2 linked regions of the Saccharomyces cerevisiae S288C genome follow. Changing the gene in region 1 together with any one later gene gives a genetic interaction. Each region holds a gene or a part of one and is shown in the gene's direction. Other genes may lie near its edges.

Region 1 (16,915 bases):
ACCTTCTAAATTCTCTTTTGAATGGAATAGGATGCCCTTTTTATCCTCATAAAATTGATCCAAAGTGATACTTTCTGTCTTTGCAATTATTACAAATTTTAGTCCTATCATCCACTTATGTTGAAAAACATCTGTCTTGAATTGTCCGGTAATCTGGTTTGTAGGCGATCTTGGAGGAAGTAATTTCACCGATACGGACTTGCACTCATCGAAACAAATAAAATGTTTCTCATACACCGAGTTTCCTTTTGGTTTGCTCCCTATTCCTTTTCCTTCAGTCTTATATTTTGGATTTATAATTTCAAACGATTCTAAGGATACAGTCAACGAAGTCACTTTAAGTAAAGGCGTCGTTATCGGATCTAATTCAATGACTAAATTTATATCATCAGTTGTCTTATAAAAAGGTGCTGATAAGGATACTTTTGCCATAGTCTCATTATTTCTGTTAATTTGATATGCGTTCTGTAAATTAATTAGCTGAGGTAGAAGATTAGAATTCTCATCTGACTTAACGAGAGAACAATCGTTCCACATCTTTTGCTCGAGGTTAGAAATGTTATCGCGTACCGAATAACTTTTTCTCCTCTTAGTTACAGCATCGCTTCTCAGGCTAGACTCTGCAGACGTCACCATTTCGTTCGAAAAGTGTGAGTCGTTGGGTTCAGGATCCGAAGAATCCTCATCCTTTCCGAACTGTACCCCCATTTGCAAGTCAATAAGTTCGTCTATATCTCTTGACACATTTTGGTTAGATTCCACCAGTTCAATGAAGTTTTTTTTGACACGCTTGACAAATTCATTATCTTCTAATGGAGAATCAATGTCAATTATAGAAGATTTTCTCCTACCAAATGATACAGCAGAAGCCGTAGAAACTTTTCGAGTAAACAAACGTGGCTTTAGTTCCTTTATGTTACCTGTCTTTAATATGATAGCAGGCTTATCCAGACGTGATGTGTACTGTTCGGCATTCGAACTAATATATGGTGCTATTGTTATTGGGACTCTATTTGAAAATTTCTCGATATTATCATCAGAAAGTACATCCGCACCAACCTCCAGCGTGTAATTTATTGATGCCACTTTTGACGATGAATAACTTGGGCATATATCTTTTGGCAGCTTTGTGGATTTAAAATAGAATGTTCTTACTTCACCTGGTTCTAAAGAAATTTCAGAAAATAAAAGCGTCTGTGGTATTAAAAGAAGAGGTAATGTTTTTATACTGGTATCGTTTGATATCATTAAGGTCCGTTCGTTATAGGTACCTGTTCTTCCCCTAGAACCGCTTTCTGAGAAAAGAAGACCATTGGTCACATTTGTATAATCTGAGTTGAGGTAGTTGGTTAAATTTCTTTTACCTTTGAAATGTTCTCCATCTTCCAATGCAAGAACAGAATTTGTCGTATGTCCAGGTACAATATCTAGTCCTACCATTTTTACTTCATCTTGTTTAAATTTTGACTCTGAAATTACCTCTGAATCGTATTGAAAGACCCCCGATATTTGAACATAACCGGATATTAACGTTACAGGTTGATGAAAATACATTTGCTTCTGTATTTTTTCTCTTAACATCTTACTCTCATTTAGCATTTTCATGTTATCCACATCCACACTCTCTTCAGGTTCGCCTGTTCTTTTGAAGGCACCTAGTAATGATTTTAGGGACCAGGTTTGATTTTCCATCGTGCCTTCACCATCATCTTGCACTTTCGCTTGTTGTTCCAACTTCTCTTCAACAGCTTTATCGACAGTGAGAAGCTTTTCTTTATAGTTGAACAATTCATGCTGTGAGCCTAGGTGCTTAAATCGGAAAGCAATTGATATATGTTCTCCACCAAAATAGGAATTCGATTCATGTATGATCTCCAGTTTGATGTTTTCTCTTATGAGAAATGTATCGATTCTGTGCGCACGCATATCTTCTTCTAAAGTATGAAAAATATCACAATCAAAATCAACAGCTCAAGAAATTATGGGCTAGCTTTCGCTGTTTGTTTCGACTGGCAGCCTTTGCATTGCCCCGTAGGTATCAAAGCTTCTTTGAAGCTGAATTGATCTTGAAAAATAGCACTTTGGAGACGCGCCTTACGCTTTATAGGAGACTTCGGAGTAGACTTCGATTAAAAAATAAAAATTACACAAGAAGTTCAAGTATTATGTTTAATATTCAAACAACGTTTCCACCTCATGGAGAAATGAAGACTTTTATCGTTCTCCGTGAGGTGGATTTACTGTTATTGTCGTTAGAGTTCATGAATGTTTCTCTTGCGCGAGCAGATCTACTGGTCAGGAATCTACATTACTTTGCAATCCATAGTACGCTTGTTATGCTGCATCAATACGAATATATATATCTAATGCTAACATCTGGTTTCTGTAGATATCTTGGCGTGTGTTTCTTTATGATAATACAAAAATATGTAACTCCTGGTGTGATGCTTGGGCGGTGGAAGGTTACGGCTTAGTAATTACGAAATTGATGAAAAAAGTTAGCAGCTGCTATAAAAGGTGCGATAACCTCTTGTGATCATCTGCTATGTGGAAGCTGGTTTACAACCTACAATTTTTCAATTAACAGTTTGAGAATAAATTAGGGGTATCGTACTACCGTAAAGAACAAGAAAATGGCTGGTAATCTTGTTTCATGGGCCTGCAAGCTCTGTAGATCTCCTGAAGGGTTTGGACCTATATCCTTTTACGGTGACTTTACTCAATGCTTCATCGACGGTGTGATCCTAAATCTATCAGCAATTTTCATGATAACCTTCGGTATCAGAGATTTAGTTAACCTTTGCAAGAAAAAACACTCTGGCATCAAATATAGGCGGAATTGGATTATTGTCTCTAGGATGGCACTAGTTCTGTTGGAGATAGCGTTTGTTTCACTTGCGTCTTTAAATATTTCTAAAGAAGAAGCGGAAAACTTTACCATTGTAAGTCAATATGCTTCTACAATGTTATCTTTATTTGTTGCTTTAGCCTTACACTGGATAGAATACGATAGATCAGTTGTAGCCAATACGGTACTTTTATTCTATTGGCTTTTTGAAACATTCGGTAATTTTGCTAAACTAATAAATATTCTAATTAGACACACCTACGAAGGCATTTGGTATTCCGGACAAACGGGTTTCATACTAACGTTATTCCAAGTAATAACATGTGCCAGTATCCTGTTACTTGAAGCTCTTCCAAAGAAGCCGCTAATGCCACATCAACACATACATCAAACTTTAACAAGAAGAAAACCAAATCCATACGATAGCGCAAACATATTTTCCAGGATTACCTTCTCTTGGATGTCAGGTTTGATGAAAACTGGCTATGAAAAATACTTAGTGGAAGCAGATTTATATAAATTACCGAGGAACTTTAGTAGTGAAGAACTCTCTCAAAAATTGGAGAAAAACTGGGAAAATGAGTTGAAGCAAAAATCAAATCCTTCATTATCATGGGCTATATGCAGAACTTTTGGATCTAAAATGCTTTTAGCCGCATTCTTTAAAGCAATTCATGATGTTCTAGCATTTACTCAACCACAACTACTAAGGATTTTAATCAAGTTCGTCACAGACTATAACAGTGAGAGACAGGATGACCATTCTTCTCTTCAAGGGTTTGAAAATAACCACCCACAAAAATTACCCATTGTAAGAGGGTTTTTGATTGCGTTTGCTATGTTTCTGGTGGGCTTTACTCAGACATCTGTCCTGCATCAATATTTCCTGAATGTCTTCAACACAGGCATGTATATTAAGAGCGCCCTAACGGCTTTAATATATCAAAAATCCTTAGTGCTATCTAATGAGGCTTCTGGACTTTCCTCTACCGGTGACATTGTCAATCTCATGAGTGTGGATGTTCAAAAATTACAAGATTTAACACAATGGCTAAATTTAATATGGTCAGGGCCTTTTCAAATCATTATTTGCTTATATTCTCTGTATAAGTTGTTGGGAAATTCCATGTGGGTTGGCGTGATTATACTAGTTATTATGATGCCATTGAACTCATTTTTGATGAGGATACAAAAGAAGTTGCAAAAATCCCAGATGAAGTACAAAGATGAAAGGACCCGTGTTATAAGTGAAATACTAAACAATATTAAATCTTTGAAGTTATATGCATGGGAGAAGCCTTATAGGGAAAAGCTAGAAGAAGTAAGAAATAACAAAGAGTTAAAAAATCTTACAAAACTAGGATGTTATATGGCTGTGACAAGTTTTCAGTTCAATATAGTACCATTCCTTGTTTCATGTTGTACCTTTGCTGTATTTGTTTATACTGAGGATAGAGCATTGACTACTGACTTAGTTTTCCCTGCTTTGACTCTGTTCAACCTGCTCTCATTCCCACTAATGATTATTCCTATGGTTTTAAATTCTTTTATCGAAGCTTCTGTTTCTATTGGTAGATTATTTACATTCTTTACCAATGAAGAGCTACAACCAGATTCGGTTCAGCGTTTACCAAAAGTAAAAAATATTGGCGATGTAGCCATTAACATTGGAGATGATGCTACCTTTTTATGGCAACGGAAACCGGAATACAAAGTAGCCTTAAAGAATATTAATTTCCAAGCTAAAAAAGGAAATTTGACCTGTATTGTTGGTAAAGTTGGCAGTGGTAAAACAGCTCTATTGTCATGCATGTTAGGTGATCTATTCAGGGTTAAAGGTTTCGCCACCGTTCATGGTTCTGTTGCTTATGTTTCACAAGTTCCATGGATAATGAATGGTACTGTAAAGGAAAACATTTTATTTGGGCATAGATACGACGCGGAATTTTACGAAAAAACGATCAAGGCCTGTGCGTTAACTATTGATCTTGCAATTTTGATGGATGGAGATAAGACATTAGTTGGCGAGAAAGGGATCTCCTTATCTGGAGGACAAAAAGCTCGTTTGTCTTTAGCAAGAGCAGTTTATGCGAGAGCTGACACTTATTTACTTGATGATCCTTTGGCAGCTGTTGATGAACACGTTGCCAGGCACTTGATCGAACATGTGTTGGGTCCAAATGGTTTATTACATACAAAAACGAAGGTATTAGCCACTAATAAGGTGAGCGCGTTATCCATCGCAGATTCTATTGCATTATTAGATAATGGAGAAATCACACAGCAGGGTACATATGATGAGATTACGAAGGACGCTGATTCGCCATTATGGAAATTGCTCAACAACTATGGTAAAAAAAATAACGGTAAGTCGAATGAATTCGGTGACTCCTCTGAAAGCTCAGTTCGAGAAAGTAGTATACCTGTAGAAGGAGAGCTGGAACAACTGCAGAAATTAAATGATTTGGATTTTGGCAACTCTGACGCCATAAGTTTAAGGAGGGCCAGTGATGCAACTTTGGGAAGCATCGATTTTGGTGACGATGAAAATATTGCTAAAAGAGAGCATCGTGAACAGGGAAAAGTAAAGTGGAACATTTACCTAGAGTACGCTAAAGCTTGCAACCCGAAAAGCGTTTGTGTATTCATATTGTTTATTGTTATATCGATGTTCCTCTCTGTTATGGGTAACGTTTGGTTGAAACATTGGTCTGAAGTTAATAGCCGCTATGGATCTAATCCAAATGCCGCGCGTTACTTGGCCATTTATTTTGCACTTGGTATTGGTTCAGCACTGGCAACATTAATCCAGACAATCGTTCTCTGGGTTTTTTGTACCATTCATGCCTCCAAATATTTACACAACTTGATGACAAACTCTGTGTTGAGAGCCCCAATGACGTTTTTTGAAACAACACCAATCGGTAGAATTCTAAACAGATTCTCAAATGACATATACAAAGTGGATGCTTTATTAGGAAGAACATTTTCTCAGTTTTTCGTCAATGCAGTGAAAGTCACATTCACTATTACGGTTATCTGTGCGACGACATGGCAATTTATCTTCATTATCATTCCACTAAGTGTGTTTTACATCTACTACCAGCAGTATTACCTGAGAACATCAAGGGAGTTGCGTCGTTTAGACTCTATTACTAGGTCTCCAATCTACTCTCATTTCCAAGAGACTTTGGGTGGCCTTGCAACGGTTAGAGGTTATTCTCAACAGAAAAGGTTTTCCCACATTAATCAATGCCGCATTGATAATAACATGAGTGCGTTCTATCCCTCTATCAATGCTAACCGTTGGCTAGCATATAGGTTGGAACTTATTGGTTCAATTATCATTCTAGGTGCTGCAACTTTATCCGTTTTTAGACTAAAACAAGGCACATTAACGGCAGGTATGGTGGGTTTATCATTAAGCTATGCTTTACAAATCACTCAAACGTTAAATTGGATTGTTAGAATGACTGTGGAAGTTGAAACGAATATTGTTTCAGTGGAAAGAATAAAGGAATATGCTGATTTGAAGAGCGAGGCACCTTTAATAGTTGAAGGCCACAGACCACCCAAAGAATGGCCGAGCCAGGGTGATATAAAGTTTAATAATTATTCCACTCGTTATAGGCCGGAGCTTGATCTTGTTCTGAAGCACATTAATATACACATTAAACCAAATGAAAAAGTTGGTATCGTGGGTAGAACGGGTGCGGGAAAATCCTCATTAACGCTAGCATTATTCAGGATGATTGAGGCTAGCGAGGGAAACATCGTAATCGACAACATTGCCATCAACGAGATTGGGTTATATGATTTGAGACATAAATTGTCAATCATACCTCAGGATTCTCAAGTTTTTGAGGGCACTGTTCGTGAGAACATTGATCCCATTAACCAATACACTGATGAAGCTATTTGGAGGGCATTGGAACTTTCTCATTTGAAAGAACACGTGCTATCAATGAGCAATGACGGATTAGATGCCCAACTAACCGAAGGTGGTGGCAACTTAAGTGTTGGACAAAGACAATTATTATGTCTTGCAAGAGCAATGTTGGTTCCATCAAAGATTTTGGTGCTTGATGAAGCCACGGCCGCAGTCGACGTGGAGACAGATAAAGTCGTCCAAGAGACGATTCGTACTGCTTTCAAGGACAGAACTATCTTGACCATCGCGCATAGACTGAACACGATAATGGACAGTGATAGAATCATAGTGTTGGACAATGGTAAAGTAGCCGAGTTTGACTCTCCGGGCCAGTTATTAAGTGATAACAAATCATTGTTCTATTCACTGTGCATGGAGGCTGGTTTGGTCAATGAAAATTAAACTGTGAAACTAATAAAAACCTGTCCCGCACAATCTGGTACGTAGGATGGATAAAATAAATAAGTAAATAAGAAAAGTACTTTAATTTTCAACGAGATACTGGCTGCATAGCTTGCCTAGAAAGGAGACGTCACGTCACTTAGGCAAGAAAAAAGGAACACTTTTCATAATATTCATCATAATATCAGAGATCGGCCAGCAATAAAAAGATATAATGAAGGCAACGATGATAATGGCTTACCTCCTCACCACATACCCCTTACAGAAAAAAACCAACATTTCTCCGGAGAACAGGTGCAAGGATAATCCACATGCCGAAAATACGATCGACACTGATTCCTTTTCTGGTATCGTAAGGGGAACCTTATGCGGGGTAATGCACTTATCAGGAAATTCCGCAGCTTACCTTCGGAGAAGGGGCAAACCTTAATAACGGAAATGCAATTAGAATAGCAGCAAGGTGAGAAAAATAATATGAAGATGCCCTTCGCATTGCCGTTAATTTTACGTAGCTCATTCTGTCACCCTAATTCCAGAAATTCCCCTTATCTGTTTTTCGATTGAATTAGGCACTCTGGTGTCATAACAAATAAGGATTGTGGGAGAAAAAGTTTCATCCTAAAACCTAAAGTATGCTAATTTTATTAACTGCACGTTTTCTCCTCACTCATCCAAGGCTATAGGCATAGGAAACCGGCTCAAACTTCCTATTCAGTTGTCCTTGAAGGAGACTTACTTTTTGTTTGTTTTTTTATTTTTATTTTTATTATATTTTTTTTTTTCATTTGTTGGGGTCAACTCACACTGGTTCTCCGCCATATTGCCTTTCTGTCAAGCATTGAAACGTGCAACATGAATATTTTTGGCAGCCATTTCAAAACAATAGCATGGTGCGAACTGCTCCAACATGAATAACCGTGCTTCGACGCGGTGTTTTCTCTTGCCGGACTGCCCATGCGTTTCAGTGCGGAGAAAGTCATCCGTTTTGAAGTGCTGCTACAACACGATCGCTCAAAAAGGAAGGAGTTTTCCTATTTCGAATTGATGGCTGGGTTTGAGCTGCAGGACACGCTGCAGTGGGGAAGCCCTTTTAAATCCGCGAGTCCGGTCCGTGCTCACTTTTAGACGCGTGTTCCATCGGCGTTCGGATGGTTTCCAGTGAGAAAAGGGGCTACGCGTATGGTCGGTAGTCCCTTTCAGGGACCAGTGCAGAGGGTGAATCAACGGCCCCTTCACAGAAACCGCGCAGGAATTTTTCTGGTGTTTGTTATTTTTTTTTCCTTGTACTTATCTCACTTTTCTTTTTCTAACTATTTTTTTTGCAATTTTTTTGTGTACACTTTCCACAACATATAGGATGGTTTAGTCATCTCTCGAAGTATATAAACCGTTGCTGGATCGTGGTTGTTCTTCATCGACTTCTCTCTGCTAGACTCTCTTTTTTAAAATTTTTTCATAGAATAAAAAACCAAGGATAACAAACATCTTCTTTCGTTCGCTTCAAAATAACTACAAATTAAAAATGCAATTCTCTACCGTCGCTTCTATCGCTGCTATTGCCGCTGTTGCCTCCGCCGCTTCTAACATTACCACTGCTACTGTCACAGAAGAATCTACCACTTTGGTCACTATCACTTCTTGTGAGGACCACGTTTGTTCTGAAACAGTTTCCCCAGCTTTGGTTTCCACTGCTACCGTCACCGTAAATGACGTTATCACTTAATACACCACCTGGTGTCCATTGCCAACCACTGAAGCACCAAAGAATACCACTTCTCCAGCTCCAACTGAAAAGCCAACCGAAAAGCCAACTGAAAAGCCAACCCAACAAGGTTCTAGCACTCAAACTGTTACCTCCTACACTGGTGCCGCTGTTAAGGCTTTGCCAGCTGCCGGTGCTTTGTTGGCTGGTGCTGCCGCTTTATTGTTGTAATTTACTCAACCTTTTCTTTAATATATTTTTAGAAAAATGGTTAAGTACTTTTCCGTCAATACAGCTTCCACAAAATCGTTTTATTTCAATTAATAAGATATTCTGGTAATTTCTTATTCTAATTCTAGGAGGCAACACTCCATAACTAAATGTTTATTATAATAATATTAATATAAAGTTAATATCTCTTAGGTTACACGCAACTAAACTTTTTTTATATATACTGGTTGCATTGTATTTTTATCATATATCTTAATATAGGTTGTTTAAGGTTCGTTAATTCAAAAATAATGTTTTTTTGTTTGCCCAGTCGGTTTACGCTAATCAAGAACATGGATTCAATATCTTACATAATAAGCGGACGATGAGTCTATCTCGGTTTCCTCTTTTCTGAAATATAATAGTTTTATATTAGTGATTCATTATTACGATCTGGCCGGCTTATCATTGCTTCTTTTACAAACGTATCCTTTTAAGATTTTATCCGGACCACTGAGCTGGCATTTTTCTTAGCTTGCTTTTGTCTTTGTTGCACGGGCGACTGAACTTCTTGGAAAATCATGTAAGCCGCAATTGCTTACTAAGTCAAAATTCTAATGGATTCTCCTCTCGAATAAAATTGAATAGTCTGAGCAGTGAAAAAAATGTATATCTTATGTGTGAATGTTATATACCATAATCTAACGAAAGATAGCGAATTAAAGACCGGTCTGTGGCACTCGTAAATATTACCAACAAAGAAAGTTCCCAATATAATCATATAGAAAATGTCAAATTCTCCAACAGTAGCAACTTTGTCACAAGAATATTTCGATCCGAATATTCCTCAAATACTCCCACACGAGAAAATGTATAAGATTCAGGTGGGGAAATCATTATTCAAAATCAGCGGTGCTTCTTTAAGCTCGGATGGTCCTAGTTTCTTCACCGAATATTTTTCTAAGAAGCGCTCTCCTTCCAATAACGATGACAGTAATAACGATACCATGGAATCTAATAAAAATGAGGTTCTATTCATAGACAGATCAGCCGAAGTTTTTGAATGGATCTATCAACATTTGCAAGGATATATAATTGAGATTAAGGATGAAGTACAATATACCATGCTTTTCGCAGATGCGATGTACTACAATTTACCGCGATTGCGATCTTTACTGAAAGAAACGGACTATTATTTTACCAACATTGGTGGACAATCATTCAAGATAGCGAAAAATTTATTTAGAAGAGAAGGAGATTCCCCAAATTATTTCGAAATATATGCGGCTACAGTTTATATCGATGTGGAAGAGCTGATAATATCTAAAAAACTATTAAGGCCTCCATCTCATTCTGCTCCTTACATTCCAAGATCTTCTGAGTACTTCAAAGATTTGCTGACGTTACTGGGAGGAGCATCCATCGATCTAGATGATAATAAAAGAAATGCCTTGATAAAAGAGTGCCGTTATTACAGGCTTTTAAATCTCGAACAGCGGCTAATCAAATCTCATATTAGCTATAACCCAATAACAAGGAAAGAAGAGATTTGCCTCCTATTGAAGGATTTGTCAAAAAAAGGCATCACTTTTCCAGCTTCTTCTGCATTTTCAACCTCGCCCTACTTTGAAGACGATTTCTGTAGCATAAATGAATGCGACTCGCTATCAAAAACCCGTGAACAGCCAGCAAATAAAAAGATTAAACTTGACATGACTGAAAAATATAACGATTCCTGGAATATGCTTTGTTATAAGAGACCTTTTTTAGATAAGCATCCGAGAGAGTTGATATTTCAAATAAATTCGACTGATTGTACGATAATCCTCAATAAGGAAAGCCAAAGTATCCATGTAGACATAACTGGAGAATCCGCCTATAAGTTTGAGGCCTTATTTGGAAGTCATTTGCCAAATACACCCTCTGGTGCGCCTAAGTTGAAAAATTACCAGTATCGGTTCCCATCCGATAGTACGCAGACGAAAATTGAAACTCATTATTTACTTCCAGCATGCATATATCTCTGTGATTTGGACATAAACGGCATTAAGATTTCTCAAGTTCAAACTTTGCTAACTGATAAAAATAAATTCAATGACAGGGTCATTGACGTGTCTGATCCACTTGACCTTAGATTTTGTTCTGGTTTAAAGCTTTACTTAAGAAAGTCTCTCTGGAAACTGGCCGTGAAAGATGGCAATATTATGCTGATAGCTATTAAAGCTATAGCATTTAACGGAACTAAGGAATACTACAAGGGATATGAATATCTGTAGGATTAGCTTGATAAAATTACTCTTCTGCCAAGCTTTTAAGTATATGTATGCTCTCCGTTGTATTTTTTATATGCCATTATAGTACTTGAAGTATAACGGAAACCCATTGTAACTCACATTCCTGTAGTAGCTTCTTTTCTTACTTTTTGTAGGCTCTTGTCTCTTTTCTCTTGTTATTTATCAGTTAATATGTAAGAAAAAAATCGACTTCGGGAATTAGGATACAGACACCTCTTAAAACCAGAGATAAAGTAACGTAGAGAAAATAGTAGGATAATGTGTGCAAAAAGAAGAAACTTTGGTGTCTTAAAATAGATAAAAATAACCCTACTGCCAATTTGAAAGGGCCCGAAAAATGTTTGATAAGTTACCTTATGAGATTTTTAAACAAATTGCCTGGAGAATTCCGCAGGAAGATAAAATTTCGTTAACATATGTATGCAAAAGATCCTATGAATCAATTATACCTTTCATCTACCAGAATTTATTTCTTAATGAAACCTATCACATCAATGGTGACTATGATAACTCATTTGGAACCTGTTATTGGTCTGTCCTAAACTTTCACTACATAGATGAAGATGATTCCAATACTAAAAACGACATGTCGAATAGAAGACTAGCTAAAGTGAAATTTAGTTATTTCGAAAGAACATTAGCAGAGTCACCGAAAAGATTATGTCCCTTAATTAATCGAATACGTTGTACATGGCATTTAAATGAAGATGTGATGACAAATGTACTTAAATTGCTATCCGAGTATGGATCCAATTTGAAATTTGTCGATCAATTTGTTCGCTCATCAGTTAACAAGGGGCTAGAACCTTTATCAAAGCAATTAAAAACTCTAACATTAACGCCACCAACGTTAATGCCCACCCATAACAGTGTAAGCGGTTCTTATTTGAATAAAATTGATCGGTTGCTCTTGAAGTGCGATCTATCTCGATTAGAAAAACTTTCCATTCATATAAACGCATTGAAGTACTTCAAAAATACCGGGTCTCCTATGAAGATCAAAGCATTGGTATTAAATTTGCGACCCGACACACTTAACCTTGCGGAGTACGACGCTTCCGATGACTTCTTAAAAGAGCTAGAATACATCGACATATTTGATGCTTCCACCTTAAGGCAGCTAGAGATTTTGTCTTGGTACAGTCGCGACGATTTTCCCTCTGGCGAAGAAGGTGGTTTTGACAGGTTATATGTCAAATGGGGGCTAGAAGGATTTTGGAAATTTCCGAACATTGAGAAACTATCATTAGCGTCATTGGTTTACAGCGAATTTTTTCTAATGAATTGTTTGGCTGTGTTTCACAATTTAAAGATACTGAAACTTGATTACATGGGTAAATTTGACTTCGATGTGTCGTTGATTAACTTCTTATCTAAACAAGTGTGTGGCAAAAAATTACAGCGTTTTGACATACACTGCCAACTAAATCACAGGCTTTTTTTTCCCATGACAGATAACCCACTAACTCGCTTGAATTTCGATGGTTTCTGCCCTTGTTCAACTTGCAAAAATACAATTCACGAGGTCATTCTAAAAAAAATCTTTCCTGAAACCCGGTCAAAACTTTTAAAGAACCCAAATAAGTTCCAAGCCCATAATTTCTTTTACCAAATGTTTTTCGAGAACAAGATCATGCCCTATACAAACATTATTGACAACGAATCACCTGCGATGGGATGGGATTCTGTACCTATTGAAACGTTTGTACGAAAGTTCAATGAAAATCTGCAAAGCACCATAGAAAATACTGAGAATATTACAGTGAATAAAATTACTAGAGAAGATGCCATTAGTTTGTACCACTTATACCTTCATTATCTAAAAGACGTATTTAAAGTTTTTGAGCAAAGTTTGCCGAACTTAGAATATCTAACCATCAACGGTATACCTACAAAAATAATACAAGTGGACGAGTTACAACGATGCGCGGTTCCCCTCTTCTATAATAATGGCTATAAAAGCAACTCTGTTTATGAATTGGTGGACGCAGAAGCTCTATTTAGTTGATACTGTGAGACATGGCGGTTATAACACGTACATAATGATATATACTCTAAATACTGCAAATTGTCAACAAGAGGAAATCAAAACAAATGGATTGTATAGTCTAGTTAGAGCTTTCTCAGTGTTCTCACTGGATTGCAGTGATGTGACATAGTTCAATAAAACAAATTATGAGCAATAAAAGCAACCGCAGGAGTTTACGTGACATAGGGAATACGATTGGTCGAAATAATATACCAAGTGACAAGGACAATGTCTTTGTGAGATTGAGTATGTCCCCTTTGAGGACGACAAGCCAAAAAGAGTTTTTGAAACCACCTATGAGGATATCACCTAACAAGACAGATGGAATGAAGCATAGTATACAAGTAACACCAAGAAGGATTATGTCGCCGGAATGTCTGAAGGGCTATGTCTCTAAGGAAACTCAAAGCCTGGATAGGCCTCAGTTCAAAAATTCGAATAAAAATGTGAAGATCCAAAACTCAGATCATATAACTAATATAATATTCCCTACATCACCAACCAAACTGACATTCAGTAATGAAAATAAAATCGGGGGTGATGGTTCGTTAACGAGAATACGGGCCCGGTTTAAGAATGGACTCATGTCACCTGAAAGGATACAGCAGCAACAGCAGCAACATATTCTCCCATCGGATGCCAAAAGCAACACTGACCTCTGTTCTAATACTGAGCTCAAGGACGCCCCATTTGAGAATGACCTTCCTCGAGCTAAATTGAAAGGGAAGAATTTATTAGTTGAACTCAAGAAAGAAGAGGAAGACGTGGGAAATGGCATAGAATCCCTTACTAAATCGAACACTAAACTGAATTCCATGCTGGCGAACGAAGGTAAGATACACAAAGCTAGTTTCCAGAAAAGTGTAAAATTTAAACTACCTGATAATATAGTGACTGAAGAAACCGTGGAACTTAAAGAAATAAAGGACTTGCTACTACAAATGTTGAGAAGACAGCGAGAGATTGAATCAAGATTATCCAATATCGAACTTCAACTCACGGAAATACCGAAACATAAGTAATCATATCCCTTCTCACATTTTTTACACAGGAAGTAAGCAAGTTATGTTATATTTCCGACACTATAATTAATTCTTAGCAGTTAAAGGTGCTTTGTCTATATTACATTTACATACAGCTTGAGTGATCCTGACCGGATATAGGGTCCTATTTTCTTACGTGAACGGCTTTTCTTCTTGTTCCCGATGGCCTTCATGTGAAAAAGCACTCCTCGGGAGGCGGAAAAATATCAAAAGTACGGGGCGAAGTTTATAATGAAGATTTATCGATATAAATTTTGGTTATTTCAGGAGAACAAGAAAGCTCTTTACACTAAAATTATCAGAGAAGAAGCTGATATATTAGCCCTAAGGAGTACACCAAAACACAATGAATATTGTCAAATTACAAGTATGTATGCCTTTCTCGAATTCCCACACTGCTGAGCACAGTGAAAAAGTTTTTTCTACCTTTTAGGTTGTAATAAACGTTTCATATACTAACAAACTCTTCTGCGATTAGAGAAAATTTCCAATTTTGACTCAAGAGGATCTTTTTTCCACAATTGAAAAGTTCAGAGCCATTGACTTAGATGATAAAGGATGGGTTGAAAAACAGCAAGCTCTAGAAGCGGTGTCCAAAGATGGTGATGCTACTTATGACGAAGCAAGAGAAACCCTGAAGCATGTGGGTGTGGATGCGTCAGGCCGTGTTGAACTGGACGATTACGTCGGGTTGGTTGCAAAATTAAGAGAATCTAAAACAGGAGCTGCTCCACAGACCACTTTCAACGTAGCACCTAACTCAACCCCTATTGTTTCCACTGCTGCCACAGGACTACAGCACAAGGGTAAGGGTACTCAAGCCAAGATTATTGTTGCTGGCTCCCAAACAGGTACTACACATACCATCAATGAAGAAGAAAGACGTGAATTTACTAAACATATCAATAGCGTCTTGGCGGGAGACCAAGATATAGGTGATTTGCTTCCATTTCCTACTGATACTTTCCAATTATTTGATGAATGTAGGGATGGGTTGGTGCTATCTAAGTTGATCAACGACTCTGTTCCTGATACTATCGATACAAGAGTTTTGAATTGGCCTAAGAAGGGTAAGGAATTGAATAATTTTCAGGCTAGTGAAAATGCTAATATTGTTATTAATTCTGCAAAAGCCATTGGTTGTGTCGTTGTTAATGTTCATTCCGAGGACATTATTGAAGGTAGAGAGCATTTGATCCTGGGTTTGATTTGGCAAATTATTAGGAGAGGTTTGTTAAGTAAAATTGATATTAAGCTGCATCCTGAGTTATACCGTCTATTGGAGGATGATGAAACGTTGGAGCAATTTTTGAGGTTGCCTCCGGAGCAAATTCTACTACGTTGGTTTAACTACCATTTGAAGCAAGCAAACTGGAACAGAAGGGTTACCAATTTTTCAAAAGACGTGTCTGATGGTGAAAACTATACTATCTTGTTGAACCAGTTGGACCCCGCCTTGTGTTCTAAGGCACCATTACAAACCACAGATTTAATGGAGAGAGCTGAGCAAGTTTTACAAAATGCTGAAAAGCTAGATTGTAGAAAGTATTTAACCCCAAGTTCATTAGTTGCGGGGAACCCTAAATTAAACCTGGCTTTCGTGGCACATCTATTCAATACACATCCTGGATTAGAGCCTATTCAGGAAGAGGAAAAGCCTGAAATTGAAGAATTTGACGCCGAAGGTGAGAGAGAGGCAAGAGTCTTTACCTTATGGTTGAACTCTCTTGACGTTGATCCACCTGTCATTTCGCTGTTTGATGATTTGAAGGATGGTTTGATATTATTGCAAGCTTACGAAAAGGTGATGCCCGGTGCTGTTGATTTTAAACATGTCAACAAAAGACCGGCCTCGGGTGCAGAGATATCCAGATTCAAAGCCTTAGAAAACACCAACTATGCAGTCGACTTGGGCAGAGCCAAAGGATTTTCTTTGGTTGGTATCGAAGGATCTGATATTGTAGATGGTAACAAATTACTGACCTTAGGGTTAGTGTGGCAATTGATGCGTAGAAATATTTCGATAACCATGAAGACATTATCCTCAAGTGGTAGAGACATGAGTGATTCTCAAATATTAAAGTGGGCCCAAGACCAGGTAACTAAAGGTGGTAAAAACTCTACCATTAGATCATTTAAGGACCAAGCTTTATCAAACGCCCACTTCTTATTGGATGTTCTGAATGGTATCGCGCCGGGCTATGTTGATTATGATCTAGTCACCCCTGGTAACACCGAGGAAGAAAGGTACGCAAACGCAAGATTGGCTATTTCTATTGCTAGAAAGTTGGGTGCTTTGATTTGGTTGGTGCCAGAAGATATCAACGAAGTTCGTGCAAGATTAATTATTACTTTTATCGCTTCGTTAATGACTTTGAACAAATGAGCCAACAAACAACTTTCGTAACCTGTTTTCTACTCAGCTTTCTTGTTCCAATGCTCCGTTATACGATTGG
Region 2 (16,198 bases), on another chromosome or scaffold:
AGAGTGACGAATATTTGAAGTCGAAGAATGCTAATCCTTGGGGTGGTTATTCTCAGGTCCAATCTAAATGAACAGGCCAGAAATTTTGAAAGGAAATCAATAGGGGTTAACGATTGTCATGGTTTTTTCAGCTAGTCTGTGACCTGTACGAAAGTGAATATCTTATTACATTATAAGTGTATCCATGGGCATCCGCCCAATACAATGCCAACATATCAAACATAAAATTGGCTGATTGCCACTCTCACATTTTTTCTTTATTTATTTACTCAAATTTTGTAATTTTTTGTTAGACATATAATTTTATATCATTATTCTTATTATTCTTATATTTAAGGGAACCCCCCTGGAATGAAATAAGCTAATATAGTATGAGGGAATCCTGTATAAATGGGTTTACCTTGTTATTCTATGCCTCCCTTTCAAAGACGTATTTCTTAAAAACTTCTCCATTTGGTTGAATACTATGAAAAAAAAAAAATCAACTAGAATAGATATGGAAGATAAAAATGTGTAACAAAAAAGAAGAAAAGAGCTGGAGGTATGACAATAGCGCCAATGGCAAACGATTTAGAAGATTTTGAGTCTCTGCTGGAGCCTGATTTTGATGCTAAACAATTTGGTAATGACTTACTGAAGGCTACTAATAACAATGACACAACCATTTTAGACCTTAACACGCCTCTTAAAAAGCTAAACTATGATCTACATGAGATTGACTCTAGAATAGACCAATTGATGAATAGCAACCCATTGGAGATAATAGAGTTAATTTACAAAAATGAACACGTCAATTCAACCATAGTTGGTGAGTTGAAACCAAGTTTGGGATATATGAATATGTCGTACGATAGACTAAAGAATCAAGTTCTAGATCCTTATGAAAGAGCGAGGAAAGTCCAACTAGCGTTGAGTAAAGTTTACCAAACATCTTTTCTCTTGCGCGGAGCATTGCTTTATATTCATTTATCAAACAAATTAAACGCACTGTCTAAAACAGCCCAACTAAGCACATCAACAGCTATTAATTTAGCCTCCTTACACTACCAACTTGAAATTACTTTGGAAGAAAATAAAAATCTAAAATCCTTGCGGAAAATTAAACAATTAGATCAGGACATTGTTTCCCCCAACAAAAGAGAGTTAATAACATTTTTGTCTTTACAAATGTGTAAAGAGTGCTTGAACTCTATTAAAATCAAATCGAACAAAGAAATAATATCTCAGCTGGCCTACTCCTTATATCTACTTTCATCTCAAGAATTCGAGTCTGCAATAAACAAGATTGTACTATCTAATGTTACAATGAGCTCACAAATCCTATCAAAAATTTTAAATTCTATCAGGATGTTTCCTGATGCGTTCAATGAAGTTGTTGAAAAAGGTTATAACATCTACATTTTAGAAACACTACTACAGAACATCAAAACGGATAATGTTACGAATTCCTCGAGATCTATTGCTGCTAATAAATCACGCCTTGGCAATCTTTTATCAGAATATACCTCAATGAAGAGTAAAGCAGGTTCTGGTACACCGAGAGATCTGTTTTGGAGCAAAGTTTCATCTGCCTTCAAAAAGGACTTTGATATATCTGTTAATAGAGGAGGCCCTGTGGGCAAGTCGCTGTTAAAAAATAAAGATTTTATTATAAACACTATGAAGCAAAGTATGAAAAAATCTTCTGATAATAGTGATTACCAAAGCTACTTGGATGTAATGCTAAACTCAGTATCTATTTCTCTAAATAAGTGAGACAGTTTACATAAAATTAAGAATGTTGATGAAATAGGATGAATCTAAAGCAATTTTCAATAGCATGTGCATATGTTTAATAAAAATTACATGAAATGTAATATTTGTTTATATTATTAAAGATTATACTAGTAATAGTTATTATGAGAAATCCAATATCGGTTAGTTTATATGAAGTATTAATATGTATATATATACATTTACGTGGTCATTCTGTCCTAAACTTAGGGGTACTGCCAGCTTTTGCCAGTGGGTTCAAAGGTACCTTTTTTTTGTTTTTCTTTCCACCACGCTTATGAAACTTTTTCTTCAACTGTTTCTTTATCTCACGAGCTTTGGTATCACGCTCCTTGGTTCTTTCAAGTGCCAGTTTTTTGGCTGCACGTTGCTTTTGACCAGGTCTCCTCTTTTTAATCTTCAATTCCTTCTGCTGCTCTAACTCTATTCTCGCATTGTGCTTATACAGATCTATTATTCGACCCTGGCAATATGGCCATTTATCACGAATACGTAGATCATCCTCCAGAATTTTTGTACTTTCTTGTATTATCACATCATAGTCGATAGAGCTCTGTTGGAATTGCAGCTTTTGGTCTGCAGAATAGCTTGCAAAGTAGTAGTCTTTGGGCCTTTCTTGGTTGATTATTTCTTCTTCAGGTTCCTTCAATGAAATTTTCATCAAACTTACTTCAGTCTGTGGCGTATCCTTCTCTTGAGTTGATGAACCTTGTTCTTCTTGAGCTGGGCTAGTCGATGCTTCAACCACACCAAACGAAAATAACGGGAACTCGAATTCTTCTTGTTTTTCTTCCTTTTGTTCATGTGCGCTGTTATTACTTTCTTTGAGATCTAATGATGAGTCGGTTCTTTCAACTTCAACGAATTCAAATTCTGTTGGCGGTACTAATACCTCTACATGCTCACTATTATTTTTACTACTACTATTGGAATCATAATCTTCTCCTAATCCCTCTCCTTCATTATAAAGATCTTTTCTTGATACTCTGCAAAATAATTAGAATATTAAACGATTCGTTGAAAAGTTAGTAAAAAAATGAAATTAGAGGCAAACTTGTATCTTATGTCAAAGCATACATCTTAAATTCAGACATTTTTATACTGAATTTCAATGTTTTTCTTTTTTTTTCATTAGAGGAGATTTTTCCATTGCTGTTTAAATGAAACTGGTCGTATTTTAAGTACTTCAAATTTTTCTTTTTCGTACTGATCCGATGACTTGAAAATACTTATTTTTTATGTAGGAACAGAATGGCATTTTTGAAGTACATAACTCTCACACGCAAAGGCCAAAATCTTTCACGATTTACTTTTATTTCTATCTGTATTGTATATCAAAATCTATACATGATGATCGGTTAATAAAGATAAAGATTAAAGAAAGACTGATTGTTATCTGTTGATACTAGTCTTCATACTCTGTAAGTATTCTCTATAACTAGCACAATTTAAAACTTTGTCTTCGACAAGAGTACTTAATACCCATAGCCTTAAAGAAGCCATATCTTTTTCGGAGTTTAGGTTGGCGGGCTCGTTAATAGATGGTCCTCTTATTATGTATAATGATTGAAATGTGATTGTATCATTGTTTTCTCTAATTCTACCGATTATCCTCCTTAGTCTTTCATTGAAAGGCGAATCGTTCAAAAGAGGCAGTTCACTTTTCCCCACAGGAATTTGAGATATGGTGTCAGTATTGAATACATCTATTAGTAACTCAGGAACAGCATCTCCGCCAACCCATAAAAATAATTCTGCGGAATTGTCAATTAAATACAGGCCATATCTTTCGAAAAGAGATATAGTGGCATTTATAGGTTCAGGAAGAACCGTTTTTCCTTCAAAGTCAGGTAGACCGACTTCGTCGGGCATGTCGTGCAGGGAGTAAACTGTAGGGTAAATGCTCTTTATCAAATAATGAAGAGGCTCCGTTTCCAATCTATTCAACGCACTTGCACGGTAATCGCTTGGAACAACGCCCGGTCTGAGGGCTATATGTTTACTTAGTCCATTCATTAATAGAGGTAACATTCTCAAATTTGCGCATAGGTTAAGTGAGGTTACTGAATTTATATTAGACATCGAAATTTCTTTTTTGTAGGCATTTAAAATATCTTCGAGCGATTTTGTGATAAAATCCCTCGCAGAGTACATGCTTGAATTCAAAGCCTTAGTCACCGCGTTTTGTGTCATGAAATCAGTAATGGCTAGTTGATCTGCGGATGCAAACACTTCCCTAGCTGATTCGGACGTTGGTAGAGCTAACGTCATGACTCTAATTCTACGTTCACCAGTGTTTAGAGTCAACAATGTTGACACTTGCAAGTAGCAATATTCTGCCATTAATGAGTCTTCGATGGATATCCCGAAAAGATAAGACTGATCTCTAGGCATTGTGGAAAAAGCGCATAAATCAGAGGATCTGTTAAAAAAATGGCCAAAAAACGATGTGGCCCTCAAGCCAGTAGAACAACGAACTCTCATAACAGCTTCCATTGAAATATCCATGGATAAATGCCTTGATAATTCCCTAGTAAACTTAGTAACATCGTTCAAACTGGTGGCATTAAAACCAGGATAAAAATGTGTTTGACCACCAGAAAAACGGCCCAGGTGAGATAGAGTGGCAACGTCCATGTAGTCCTCTGATGCCAGAAACATGTCCACTGTTATTTGTAGTTTATTACACTCAATTGTGAATGTTTTATAAAAGGAATCTTTACACGACAGTAGCTGAGAGCTTTCTTTTGGTGTGTTTAATATGCCCTGTTCACTTCTTTTTTTCAATTTCCCGATGCCAGTATTTGGTAAAGTTGATGAAATGACTTCAACTTTGCCTCCAGTGCTTTTTATCAAATTTGACGCAGCTTTTAGGGCAGGTCCAAGTGCAAACTTGCTACTGTGTGTGTCTTGAAAAATTTCAGGTATCTTTTTCAACAATGTTTCCAGATTATTTTTACAATATTTTAGTGGAACTACTAATTCATCACTCGGCATTGGTAAAAATGGTTCATCCAAATCGCCAATATCAAACATTTGAATTGTTTCTGAATTATCAACGTCTTCCTCTTCCTCGTCTTCATCTTCTTCTTCACCATCTGATTCTTCATCATCCTCATCCGATACTTCATAATCATCATCCAAAGGAACGTAAAAATAATGAAGGCTATGATCAACACATATAATAGCAATTCTGGTCCTTCCATCATGATTTGGTAGAAATTCTATGTTTTCTAAAATGGTTCTGGCAGAAGTAGCCAATAAACCATTTTTGACAGCGTTTTGAGAAACATCTAAAAGAAATACATAAACAGATGGTGGGGGTTCCCTAACAGAATATTCTACGGGAGCCAAGTAATCCACGACAGAGTTTTTAATTTCGTTTCTTTCATATCTGTTGATTGGAGCGCCTTGTAAGTTCTGATCAAACCCAAATGGGACATCATTTTTGAAACGGCATATATTACATTGCCATTTTCTCCCTTGGTTAATGAAAACGACAAAAGGGTTCATATATGAACGACAACGGCGACAGCGGACAATGACTCCGTCAGTATTTAGCGGTACTTGGTTGTCTGAATCTTGCAAATGCAAATATGGTCTAATAACAATGGCAAATGGTAACTTCGTTTTCTTCAGCAGAGAGTTTGTTTTTGGCACCGCTTTCAAAGTAGATCTGACGTACTGGTATGGAACATTTGAATATTCGGATGGAGTCACAATGTTATCCTGAGAAATGGTGATTGGAAGAGGTGGTAAAGACAGGTCACGGATTGGCGGAGGTAATTCTGTAAACAAATCCACAGGGTATAGTTGATTGACCACTTTCCCAGAACCAGGAAACTGTTGATTTTGAGCTAGCTGTGTAAATGAGTTAGCCCTATTGTTCAATTGTAGGTTGCCCATTGCATAAGCTGTTTGGTCGATTTGTTGTTGAGACTGCTGTTGCTCTGCAACTATTGGCATACTTGCAATGTATGGCACCTGAGCTTGAGGGTACACCCTCTTCTTATGATGAGACATTATTCACTGCAGCTGTCGATCATTAATGGAAGAAGGTTCATCAACCAAGCACACTGCAAATGAAGGGTTAGATGAAGAGTTCGACGAAGACCCTTTTAACTGACGTATCATTCATCGTTGTCATCGCTACATCTATGTCCTTCGGGTAAGCTAAACAAAAAGTGAAAAGTTCAATAAATAATAAGATTGAGAGGTAAGTGAAGTGAAGATAGATGTTAGTATCCAAGTGTGACCAACATGTTCAGGTGATTGCAGGCGAAAATGGGCAGTGCTTGGACAAACTACAATTTTGAAGAGGTTAAGTCTCATTTTGGGTTCAAAAAATATGTTGTATCATCTTTAGTACTAGTGTATGGACTAATTAAGGTTCTCACGTGGATCTTCCGTCAATGGGTGTATTCCAGCTTGAATCCGTTCTCCAAAAAATCTTCATTACTGAACAGAGCAGTTGCCTCCTGTGGTGAGAAGAATGTGAAAGTTTTTGGTTTTTTTCATCCGTATTGTAATGCTGGTGGTGGTGGGGAAAAAGTGCTCTGGAAAGCTGTAGATATCACTTTGAGAAAAGATGCTAAGAACGTTATTGTCATTTATTCAGGGGATTTTGTGAATGGAGAGAATGTTACTCCGGAGAATATTCTAAATAATGTGAAAGCGAAGTTCGATTACGACTTGGATTCGGATAGAATATTTTTCATTTCATTGAAGCTAAGATACTTGGTGGATTCTTCAACATGGAAGCATTTCACGTTGATTGGACAAGCAATTGGATCAATGATTCTCGCATTTGAATCCATTATTCAGTGTCCACCTGATATATGGATTGATACAATGGGGTACCCTTTCAGCTATCCTATTATTGCTAGGTTTTTGAGGAGAATTCCTATCGTCACATATACGCATTATCCGATAATGTCAAAAGACATGTTAAATAAGCTGTTCAAAATGCCCAAGAAGGGTATCAAAGTTTACGGTAAAATATTATACTGGAAAGTTTTTATGTTAATTTATCAATCCATTGGTTCTAAAATTGATATTGTAATCACAAACTCAACATGGACAAATAACCACATAAAGCAAATTTGGCAATCCAATACGTGTAAAATTATATATCCTCCATGCTCTACTGAGAAATTAGTAGATTGGAAGCAAAAGTTTGGTACTGCAAAGGGTGAGAGATTAAATCAAGCAATTGTGTTGGCACAATTTCGTCCTGAGAAACGTCATAAGTTAATCATTGAGTCCTTTGCAACTTTCTTGAAAAATTTACCGGATTCTGTATCGCCAATTAAATTGATAATGGCGGGGTCCACTAGATCCAAGCAAGATGAAAATTATGTTAAAAGTTTACAAGACTGGTCAGAAAATGTATTAAAAATTCCTAAACATTTGATATCATTCGAAAAAAATCTGCCCTTCGATAAGATTGAAATATTACTAAACAAATCTACTTTCGGTGTTAATGCCATGTGGAATGAGCACTTTGGAATTGCAGTTGTAGAGTATATGGCTTCCGGTTTGATCCCCATAGTTCATGCCTCGGCGGGCCCATTGTTAGATATAGTTACTCCATGGGATGCCAACGGGAATATCGGAAAAGCTCCACCACAATGGGAGTTACAAAAGAAATATTTTGCAAAACTCGAAGATGATGGTGAAACTACTGGATTTTTCTTTAAAGAGCCGAGTGATCCTGATTATAACACAACCAAAGATCCTCTGAGATACCCTAATTTGTCCGACCTTTTCTTACAAATTACGAAACTGGACTATGACTGCCTAAGGGTGATGGGCGCAAGAAACCAGCAGTATTCATTGTATAAATTCTCTGATTTGAAGTTTGATAAAGATTGGGAAAACTTTGTACTGAATCCTATTTGTAAATTATTAGAAGAGGAGGAAAGGGGCTGATGTTTTTTGAAAATAGAAGCCTTGTTTATGAGAAAACTTATACATAATATTACATACAAACTAGAGCATTACTATATAATTAACTTACTTGTCACAGCTGATTGCTTTTTCTAGGGGAATCTACATTTTCAATGTAAAATTCAGGAACCCTATTCTGAATTTGTGAATCATTCGTTTCCGGTATCGATGACGTGGTGTTAGTGATTGTCAAATTGTCTAATTTTGGAATGGAATTCAAGGGAAAATTGCTACTACTCACATCATCGTATCTCGTATGTTGCTCATTAGTTACCTGGGGGGTCACGCTCTCCGTGGTGTTTTCATTACTCTTGGCTTTTTCTTTAGACAGTTTGGCAACTTTACTCACATATTTGCATTTGTCGTCATAGTTGGGCAAACTTGATAAGGCTTTGATATTTCCAAACCATTCTATCATATCGTCATAAGAGTCTACTTTGAATACCCAGTTGTGACCCCTATGTATTAGTCCGTTAGAATTCGTACGCAATATAAACTTGTTCTTGCCCTGCTCTGAGTTGGATTTCGTCTTTTTGGAATGCTCAGTGACAGTACATTCCACTAATGGTATTGACATTAACGGTGTGGAAAATTTATGCTTATCTGGTGTCTTAAATTCATGTAAAAAGCTTGGAGTGAGGACATAAAACCCACGTGAGTATGACTTTAAAAATTTTGATCTTTTCTCCAGAAACCCAGATTTAACTTCAAAAGTAAAAGGATCGTTTTGATTGCTATACGAGATCTCTTTAAACCTCCTCATGGGTAAATTTGGAGGCACAAAATTGGAAATATTCCTTAGAATGAAACTATCCCATTCAAGATTCGTGTTTTTGTTCAGTATCGTGGAATCTAATTTAGAGATAACTGAGTCAAATACAACTTGGGCTTCTTTGCCAAGAATTCTAGCGTAGCTGGTCAATCCGTTCTGTATTTCCATTACAATAACACTTTCTAACTGGGCCCCTGAATTCTGCAAGTTATCGAATGCCTCGTGCAAATAATTTTCTTCCACCAACTGTCTTTTGATTTGCTTTTCCAATTGCAATTTTATCAAAAATGGGTCACTCTTTGGTGTACCTAATTTACATTCTTTTAATGATTCATTAAAAAGCTTCATCAAGTGTTTAGTTTGCTGAAGCTCTTTGTTACAGGAATTTTTAAAATCAGATTGCAAAGCCTTAATTTCTTTAATCTTGACTAGTAAATCTCTTCTCAAATCCTCTAGCCTGGGTATAATTTCACTGGTCAACTCCTTGGAACTTTTCGATGCCAAAGAGGCCAGATTATCATGATACTTGGTCAGCATCGTGGGCAAATCTTGAACGGATCCACTTCCTAAGGGCAGAAAAAATTTCTGCATGGACTTGTCTTCATTAGAGACCGGTTGATATTGGTTTTCAATGCTGAAAAAGGGGAACTGCACAGCATGGGACAACCTCAGTTGCTGTCTAACTATTTCGTCCTGTATTGAGGCGGTCTCAGAGAGATATACCAAGATGGCACGAATAACATTTCTCCAGGCAGAAAACCTAGCAGACAAGACATCAGTGGGCTGCGCAGAAGTCGGTATCAGTATCGCCAGAGGGGACCTAGGATCGTTTTGGTTAGAATCATACTGCTTCTGGTGGCTATGTAAAGACATTTTTGGCAGCGTTAGCATGGAAGGGTCAGTGAAGGAACCAACATTATTGATATTGTTATTATTAATATTATTATTTTGTGATGATGGAATATTATTAGAGTTCAAAGAGTGCGTCGTATTGGTGCCAGCCGCAGCATCGACTATCGAATTTTGCCGATCGTGATCATATACGTTCAACTGAGCCGGGATAGTGGGATCGGAAGTCACAGCGTCGATAGGGTAAGGTATAGGATTGCGTTGCGCAAGCGACGAGGGTAGTGACAGGGGTATGTTCTGGCCTTTTTGTTGCTGCTGTTGATAGGCGGGATTAAAATGTTCTGACCTCATTCTGCCTTCCAGTTGTTGATATTGACTTCTGAGGTCAAGAGAGGCTCTTGCACTGTTCCGTTGGTAAGACATGGTGCAATGGACGGCTGGGTAAAGCGTATAACGCTCTCCTAAACCTTTGCTTGCGCGGTCATCTTCTCATGTAGTAGGTTGCATCGCCTTTTGATTAAAGAATGCGGCATGACCCGGAAAAAAGAGGCAGGTATTGGCTAATGACTACTACCATTATGAGTTTTTACCAGTATCAGCGCCATCATTAGGAGGATATATTAGCATTGGTGGACGTAAGAGCTCCTAAATATACAAGCATCGCCGTGATGTGTTATATATTGCAGCTTTATCTTGCTGGAGTGTCTACCGTATTTACTTCTACTTTTGGCATTTTTTTCGCCAATGCTGGCTCGAACAAGAAACTGCCTGCCATTTGAATTATTCATATATAAATACACTAATCATACGTGAGCATAGTGTGACAATTTCGGCGCAAGATATTAATGGAGCACGTATCAAAGAGGTCAATTGGGCAATTCTTTAAGAGGAAAACTTCAACTGTAGATGGAAGCAAATCACAGAAATGCGGAACCACTAACCAACTGCGGAAGCTGCTGCATAAAAGAAGGGTACAGAAGCAGGCAGTGCCGGTTGAATCCCAGTACAGAATTCCGGGTGATTTTAGGGATAATCAAAGCGTGAGAGTCAAAAACTCTATGTACAACAGCTCACCGTCAGTAACGCCATCTACGCATCATATCAATGAAAGGTATGTTCGCTATGACATCAACACAAGGCCTTTGGTTGTTGTGCTCGCGATCTCAATTGTATTTTTTGGCTGTCTCCTGGTCCTCAAGGACATCATCATCCAGTCATCAGAAAACATCCTGAGTGTTTCCAAATGGAAAATCATAGGGGCCTCCTTCATGGGTACGCCCTACACAGGTCTTCTCACGGGGCTCGTTGGCCCTCTCCTGTCACCATTTTCGGCTGTTTCGTCGTGGCTTTCATTCATCTTTTGACACAATGCGTCTTCAGTTTCCGGGGGCATTGCGTATGGAAAATCATGTCACTTTTTTTCTTCCACTTTTTCGTTTGACTTATATAAACGCACTTTAGTATAGTTTGCTTTATGTATTAGGTTATCTTGGTGTTCTAATTGATGTTCTTGCTTCCATTTGTCATTCGTCATTCCAGCTCTATTTACCTGCCCACGCTTCGATTTCGAGGTTTACTTACTGTAATCTCAAGAAACATACACATTTCCACCCCTCATAAAATGTTGCCTCTTTCAATTGAGCAGAGAAGACCTTCCCGCTCCCCCGAATACGATCAGTCTACTTTATCAAATTATAAGGACTTCGCAGTTCTTCACACCGATTTAAACCTGTCTGTTTCCTTCGAAAAGTCAGCCATTTCAGGGAGCGTTACATTCCAATTGAAAAAACTGCACGAAGGTAAAAATAAATCGGATGAATTACATCTGGATACATCCTATTTGGATGTCCAGGAGGTTCATATTGATGGTTCCAAGGCAGATTTTCAAATTGAGCAAAGAAAGGAGCCATTGGGCTCCAGGTTAGTCATCAATAACGCTTCTTGCAACGATAACTTTACCTTGAATATTCAATTTCGTACGACTGACAAGTGCACCGCTTTGCAATGGTTGAACAGCAAGCAAACCAAGGGCGGTAAACCGTACGTGTTTTCACAGTTGGAAGCTATTCATGCGAGGTCTTTGTTCCCCTGCTTTGATACTCCCTCTGTGAAGTCTACTTTCACTGCATCTATCGAGTCCCCACTACCAGTGGTTTTTTCAGGCATCAGGATTGAAGATACAAGCAAGGATACTAATATTTACAGATTTGAACAGAAAGTCCCTATCCCAGCCTACCTGATCGGTATTGCTTCCGGTGATTTGTCAAGCGCTCCAATTGGACCTCGTTCCACAGTTTACACTGAACCATTTCGTTTGAAAGATTGTCAATGGGAATTTGAAAACGATGTAGAGAAATTCATTCAAACTGCAGAGAAAATTATCTTTGAATACGAGTGGGGCACTTATGATATCTTAGTTAACGTCGATTCGTACCCTTACGGCGGTATGGAGTCTCCGAATATGACTTTTGCTACGCCCACCTTGATTGCACATGACAGATCCAACATTGATGTCATCGCCCATGAACTTGCTCACTCATGGTCTGGTAACTTAGTGACCAATTGTTCGTGGAATCATTTTTGGTTGAATGAAGGTTGGACCGTTTACTTAGAAAGAAGAATTATTGGTGCCATTCATGGCGAACCAACTAGACATTTCAGTGCTCTGATTGGTTGGAGCGATTTGCAGAATTCTATTGATTCTATGAAAGATCCTGAAAGATTTTCCACTTTGGTACAAAACTTGAACGATAACACTGACCCTGACGATGCCTTTTCCACTGTTCCGTACGAAAAGGGGTTCAACTTACTATTTCACTTGGAAACTATTTTGGGTGGTAAGGCTGAATTTGATCCATTTATTAGACACTATTTCAAGAAGTTTGCCAAAAAATCATTGGATACTTTCCAGTTTTTGGATACTTTGTATGAGTTCTATCCCGAAAAGAAAGAAATTTTGGATTCCGTTGACTGGGAAACTTGGCTGTATAAACCAGGTATGCCACCAAGGCCTCATTTTATTACGGCTTTGGCTGATAATGTTTATCAATTGGCTGACAAGTGGGTCGAAATGGCTCAACATTTGAAAACCACAGAGGATTTCCGGTCTGAATTTAACGCTATTGACATTAAGGATTTTAATTCAAATCAATTGGTTTTGTTCTTGGAAACTTTGACACAAAATGGCCATTCCAACAAGAAACCAAAAGATTTTGACTGGGCCAAGTTTCCCGTGGCATCTAGGGCACTGTTAGATATCTATCAAGATAACATTGTTAAATCACAGAACGCGGAAGTTGTTTTCAAGATGTTCAAATTTCAGATCTTTGCCAAGCTGCAAGAAGAATATAAGCATTTGGCCGATTGGTTGGGAACTGTAGGTAGAATGAAGTTTGTCCGTCCCGGTTACAGACTATTAAACTCTGTAGACCGTCGATTGGCACTTGCAACTTTCGACAAATTCAAGGACACGTATCATCCAATCTGTAAAGCTCTTGTGAAACAAGATTTAGGTCTTTGAAAAGGGACGTGTCGTAACATGAATACGTAAACAATTAAATATAACCTACTAATGAGCCTTCATTGCTACTTCTCTGGTTCTAATTAGTGGCGGAGTTCTGTGTCGTGCGATACGAATTTTGCACTTTTGTCACATGCAATCGAGGCAAAAAGAAAAAATAAATAATAACAACGAATATAAATACAAATCGAAAGAATTCAGATTGAATTCAATATTGCAGGGCTTTGAACACTGAGTTTGGAACTATCAGCCGTCAAATACGCATAAAATAACATCAAATACTCCAATAATGAATCAGTTAGGAGCTTTAGCCGTAAGTTCTAAATTGTAAACACATTTGCATCATTGAAAAACTATACTAACGCGTTAACCTTTTTTCTATATTTCTATAGCAAGTTTCACGTTTCACTCAAAACTTCTCCATGGAAAATATTAAGAGCGAGTTCCAATCCTTGCAATCTAAATTAGCAACCCTTCGCACCCCGCAAGAATTTTTCAATTTCAAGAAAATTTCCAAACCTCAAAACTTTGGGGAAGTTCAATCCAGAGTGGCGTATAACCTGAAGTACTTTTCCAGTAACTATGGTTTGATTATTGGTTGTTTGAGCATTTACACATTATTAACAAACTTGTTGCTACTCTTTGTTATTGTTCTAGTCGTAGCTGGTATTGTTGGTATAAACAAACTAAAGGGTGAGGAGCTCGTAACTCCATTTGGTTCTTTCAAGACCAACCAACTATACACCGGACTGGTTTGTGTTGCTGTGCCAATAGGTTTCTTAGCTTCGCCAATCTCAACTTTGCTATGGTTGATCGGTGCTTCTGCCGTCAGCGTTTTCGGACATGCATCATTGATGGAAAAACCCATCGAAACTGTATTTGATGAAGAAACTGTTTGAACACTCCTACAAGTGTTGGGAAAAGGAGTCATTCTTTTCTATTGTGTATTTTACTCTTCTTCAATATTTAGTTAATTCTTGTCTTTTATTCTCTTTCTCCGTCAACATTAGTATTTAATTGTATACAGACACCATTCATAATTGCAGTTAGCTTCTCTGTTCTTTCTCATTCCTAGGATTTACAATGCAGTCTTACCTTATTTGTTTATGTTTTTTTCGTTTATCAAGCGTGCAATCAATTACTGAAGATTCACGTGCCAAAACGTAAAAATAATAATAACATAACCCGAGAGAGGCAAGATTAGAATCAATTCATCTTTTCAAACAAATGGTTATATCGACTAAGCGAAGTGATTAGATGGTGTACGTCGCAGATATTCAACAGTGACGAATTATATGCGATTGTAAGATTGATTGGCAAATCGTATTCCATTACTACTATTAACAACTGATGGCATCTAGAAGGTAAAAAGGGTCAACGTAGATGAGGTAGAGTTTGAGCTTAGGGCCCTGCCGAGTTTTCATTAGAAGACCTCTACTACACTTCAAAATGAAATACCCCTGCATCACCAGATTCATCAACCTAAACGTACAAGACGTATGAAACACGTATGAAACAGTTGTTGCGAAAAAAACAAGATTAAGTATTTTCAAAGCCCCGGTTGCCTTGATGAACCTAAACGTATAAATAGTTGAGCAATCAGTTTAGCTCCGAAGATCTATGCTTCCACCCTTTAGTCAGATTTAGATCCTATATAGATTATATGGGATAAGTAACATTCCGTCAATCAAGCTGCTCTTCTGACAGGTATTAATATTGTTAAGACGGCTAGTATTGACTAACTTCATGACACAACCACTGTTGTATCTCAAAATGAGATATGTCAGTATGACAATACGTCACCCTGAACGTTCATAAAACACATATGAAACAACCTTATAACAAAACGAACAACATGAGACAAAACCCGACCTTCCCTAGCTGAACTACCCAAAGTATAAATGCCTGAACAATTAGTTTAGATCCGAGATTCCGCGCTTCCACCACTTAGTATGATTCATATTTTATATAATATATAAGATAAGTAACATTCCGTGAATTAATCTGATAAACCGTTTTGACAACTGGTTACTTCCCTAAGACTGTTTATATTAGGATTGTCAAGACACTCCGGTATTACTCGAGCCCGTAATACAACAACCACACGAAATAATCGGGCGTGTGGTCTAGTGGTATGATTCTCGCTTTGGGCGACTTCCTGCCTAAACAGGAAGACAAAGCATGCGAGAGGCCCTGGGTTCAATTCCCAGCTCGCCCCGTTATCTTTTTTCACCATCAGGGCGGAATTTTTTTGTTTAGCATCAATCAACCTAACCTCTCATGCTTCTCCAAGCTGAAAGAAGTAAACTCACTCTATGTACGTGTTGCAACATATATCTGCCAAAAGAATGAAAGTAGGTTCAGAACAAACAGATTGAAAGGAGACCAGTAAAACTATATGGGGGGGGTTGTTCTTCCCGCCTCCTTCTGGGATTATGAAGACGCGCTGATCTGCTATAGTTCAACGTCCTTTTCGCTTACTATTTCTGGTAAGAAATATAAGGAATTCTCGGATTAATTACTTTTCTCGAAAGGGGATTCCGAACACCTACCGGAAAAAAATAGCAGCCCTTAAGGGGAGAGTACGGCTCTTGGCATGACGGGAGGCAGGACAGCACTAAAGGCAGACTAGTCACTGAGCGCTCCAAGTTGGGTATGATAGTATCTTCAAGTTTTGGTCGAGTAGCTATTCCTCTTCTTCAAAGCCACTTACGCTTCGCCCAATAATGTCATGATTTACAAATAAACCTTCCTCTCCGAACCCTTAAAAGTAGGCAAATTGAGAAAATTTTTTGCTCGTCTTTTTTTCTCTCGTTTCGATTACCTTATTGGGAACTTCTCGAAGAACTCGGCGAAGAGGTCCAGAGGAAGATTACTGACTATCATCAAGCCTTGTTTCTTTTGGCCTCTTCAGTAAGCTGCAAATGCAGTATTGGCTTTTTTAAAAAAGAAAAAGAGAAGGAAAGCGGAAACTAGTCTTGTTGCTCTTCTAGTGCAGTTGTTGTTTGTTCATTTGTTTCTTAATAACAGTCAACGAGAAAACTTGCGCGTGCAGTAGGAAAATAAGTAGCAAATTACATTACATGGAAAACTTGCAACCATCTGTGAGCACAGGCGACCAATGAGTACTTTCAACAGTTACAGCCAGCCAAAGGAAAGCAATGATAATAGTCATAATAATGTCAACAAGAGCAAATCGCTGTTAGATATAATATTTGGTACTAATGTATCGGAATGGGCTTTTTCTGAGAATGCTTTAATGAAAGCTATGGATTTGAAAATAGAACAAGAAAAGACTAAGCAGCAATATTATAAACTTGAAAACTTGAATCGTT

Evidence for each region.
Region 2: mutations in MRX16 (region 1) and YNL046W together harm fitness more than expected from each alone (negative genetic interaction), as found in Saccharomyces cerevisiae (2 studies listed by BioGRID).

Annotation. Positions count from the first base shown.
Region 1 is NC_001136.10:713,270-730,184, reverse strand, and holds MRX16 (Mrx16p), read left to right. Parts: upstream 1-9,881; coding exon 9,882-11,369; downstream 11,370-16,915. Other genes in the region: RGP1 (Rgp1p), read right to left, coding at 1-1,926; ATP-binding cassette glutathione S-conjugate transporter YCF1, read left to right, coding at 2,634-7,181; YDR131C (uncharacterized protein), read left to right, coding at 11,725-13,395; FIN1 (Fin1p), read left to right, coding at 13,563-14,438; SAC6 (fimbrin), read left to right, coding at 14,806-14,826, 14,938-16,845.
Region 2 is NC_001146.8:532,116-548,313, forward strand, and holds YNL046W (uncharacterized protein), read left to right. Parts: upstream 1-10,188; coding exon 10,189-10,707; downstream 10,708-16,198. Other genes in the region: COX5A (cytochrome c oxidase subunit Va), read left to right, coding at 1-71; Golgi transport complex subunit COG5, read left to right, coding at 544-1,755; YNL050C (uncharacterized protein), read right to left, coding at 1,964-2,759, 2,851-2,867; COPII subunit SFB2, read right to left, coding at 3,166-5,796; alpha-1,2-mannosyltransferase ALG11, read left to right, coding at 6,058-7,704; SLM2 (phosphatidylinositol 4,5-bisphosphate-binding protein), read right to left, coding at 7,796-9,766; LAP2 (bifunctional aminopeptidase/epoxide hydrolase), read left to right, coding at 10,848-12,863; YIP3 (Yip3p), read left to right, coding at 13,153-13,176, 13,256-13,762; YNL042W-B (uncharacterized protein), read left to right, coding at 14,998-15,255; BOP3 (Bop3p), read left to right, coding at 15,985-16,198.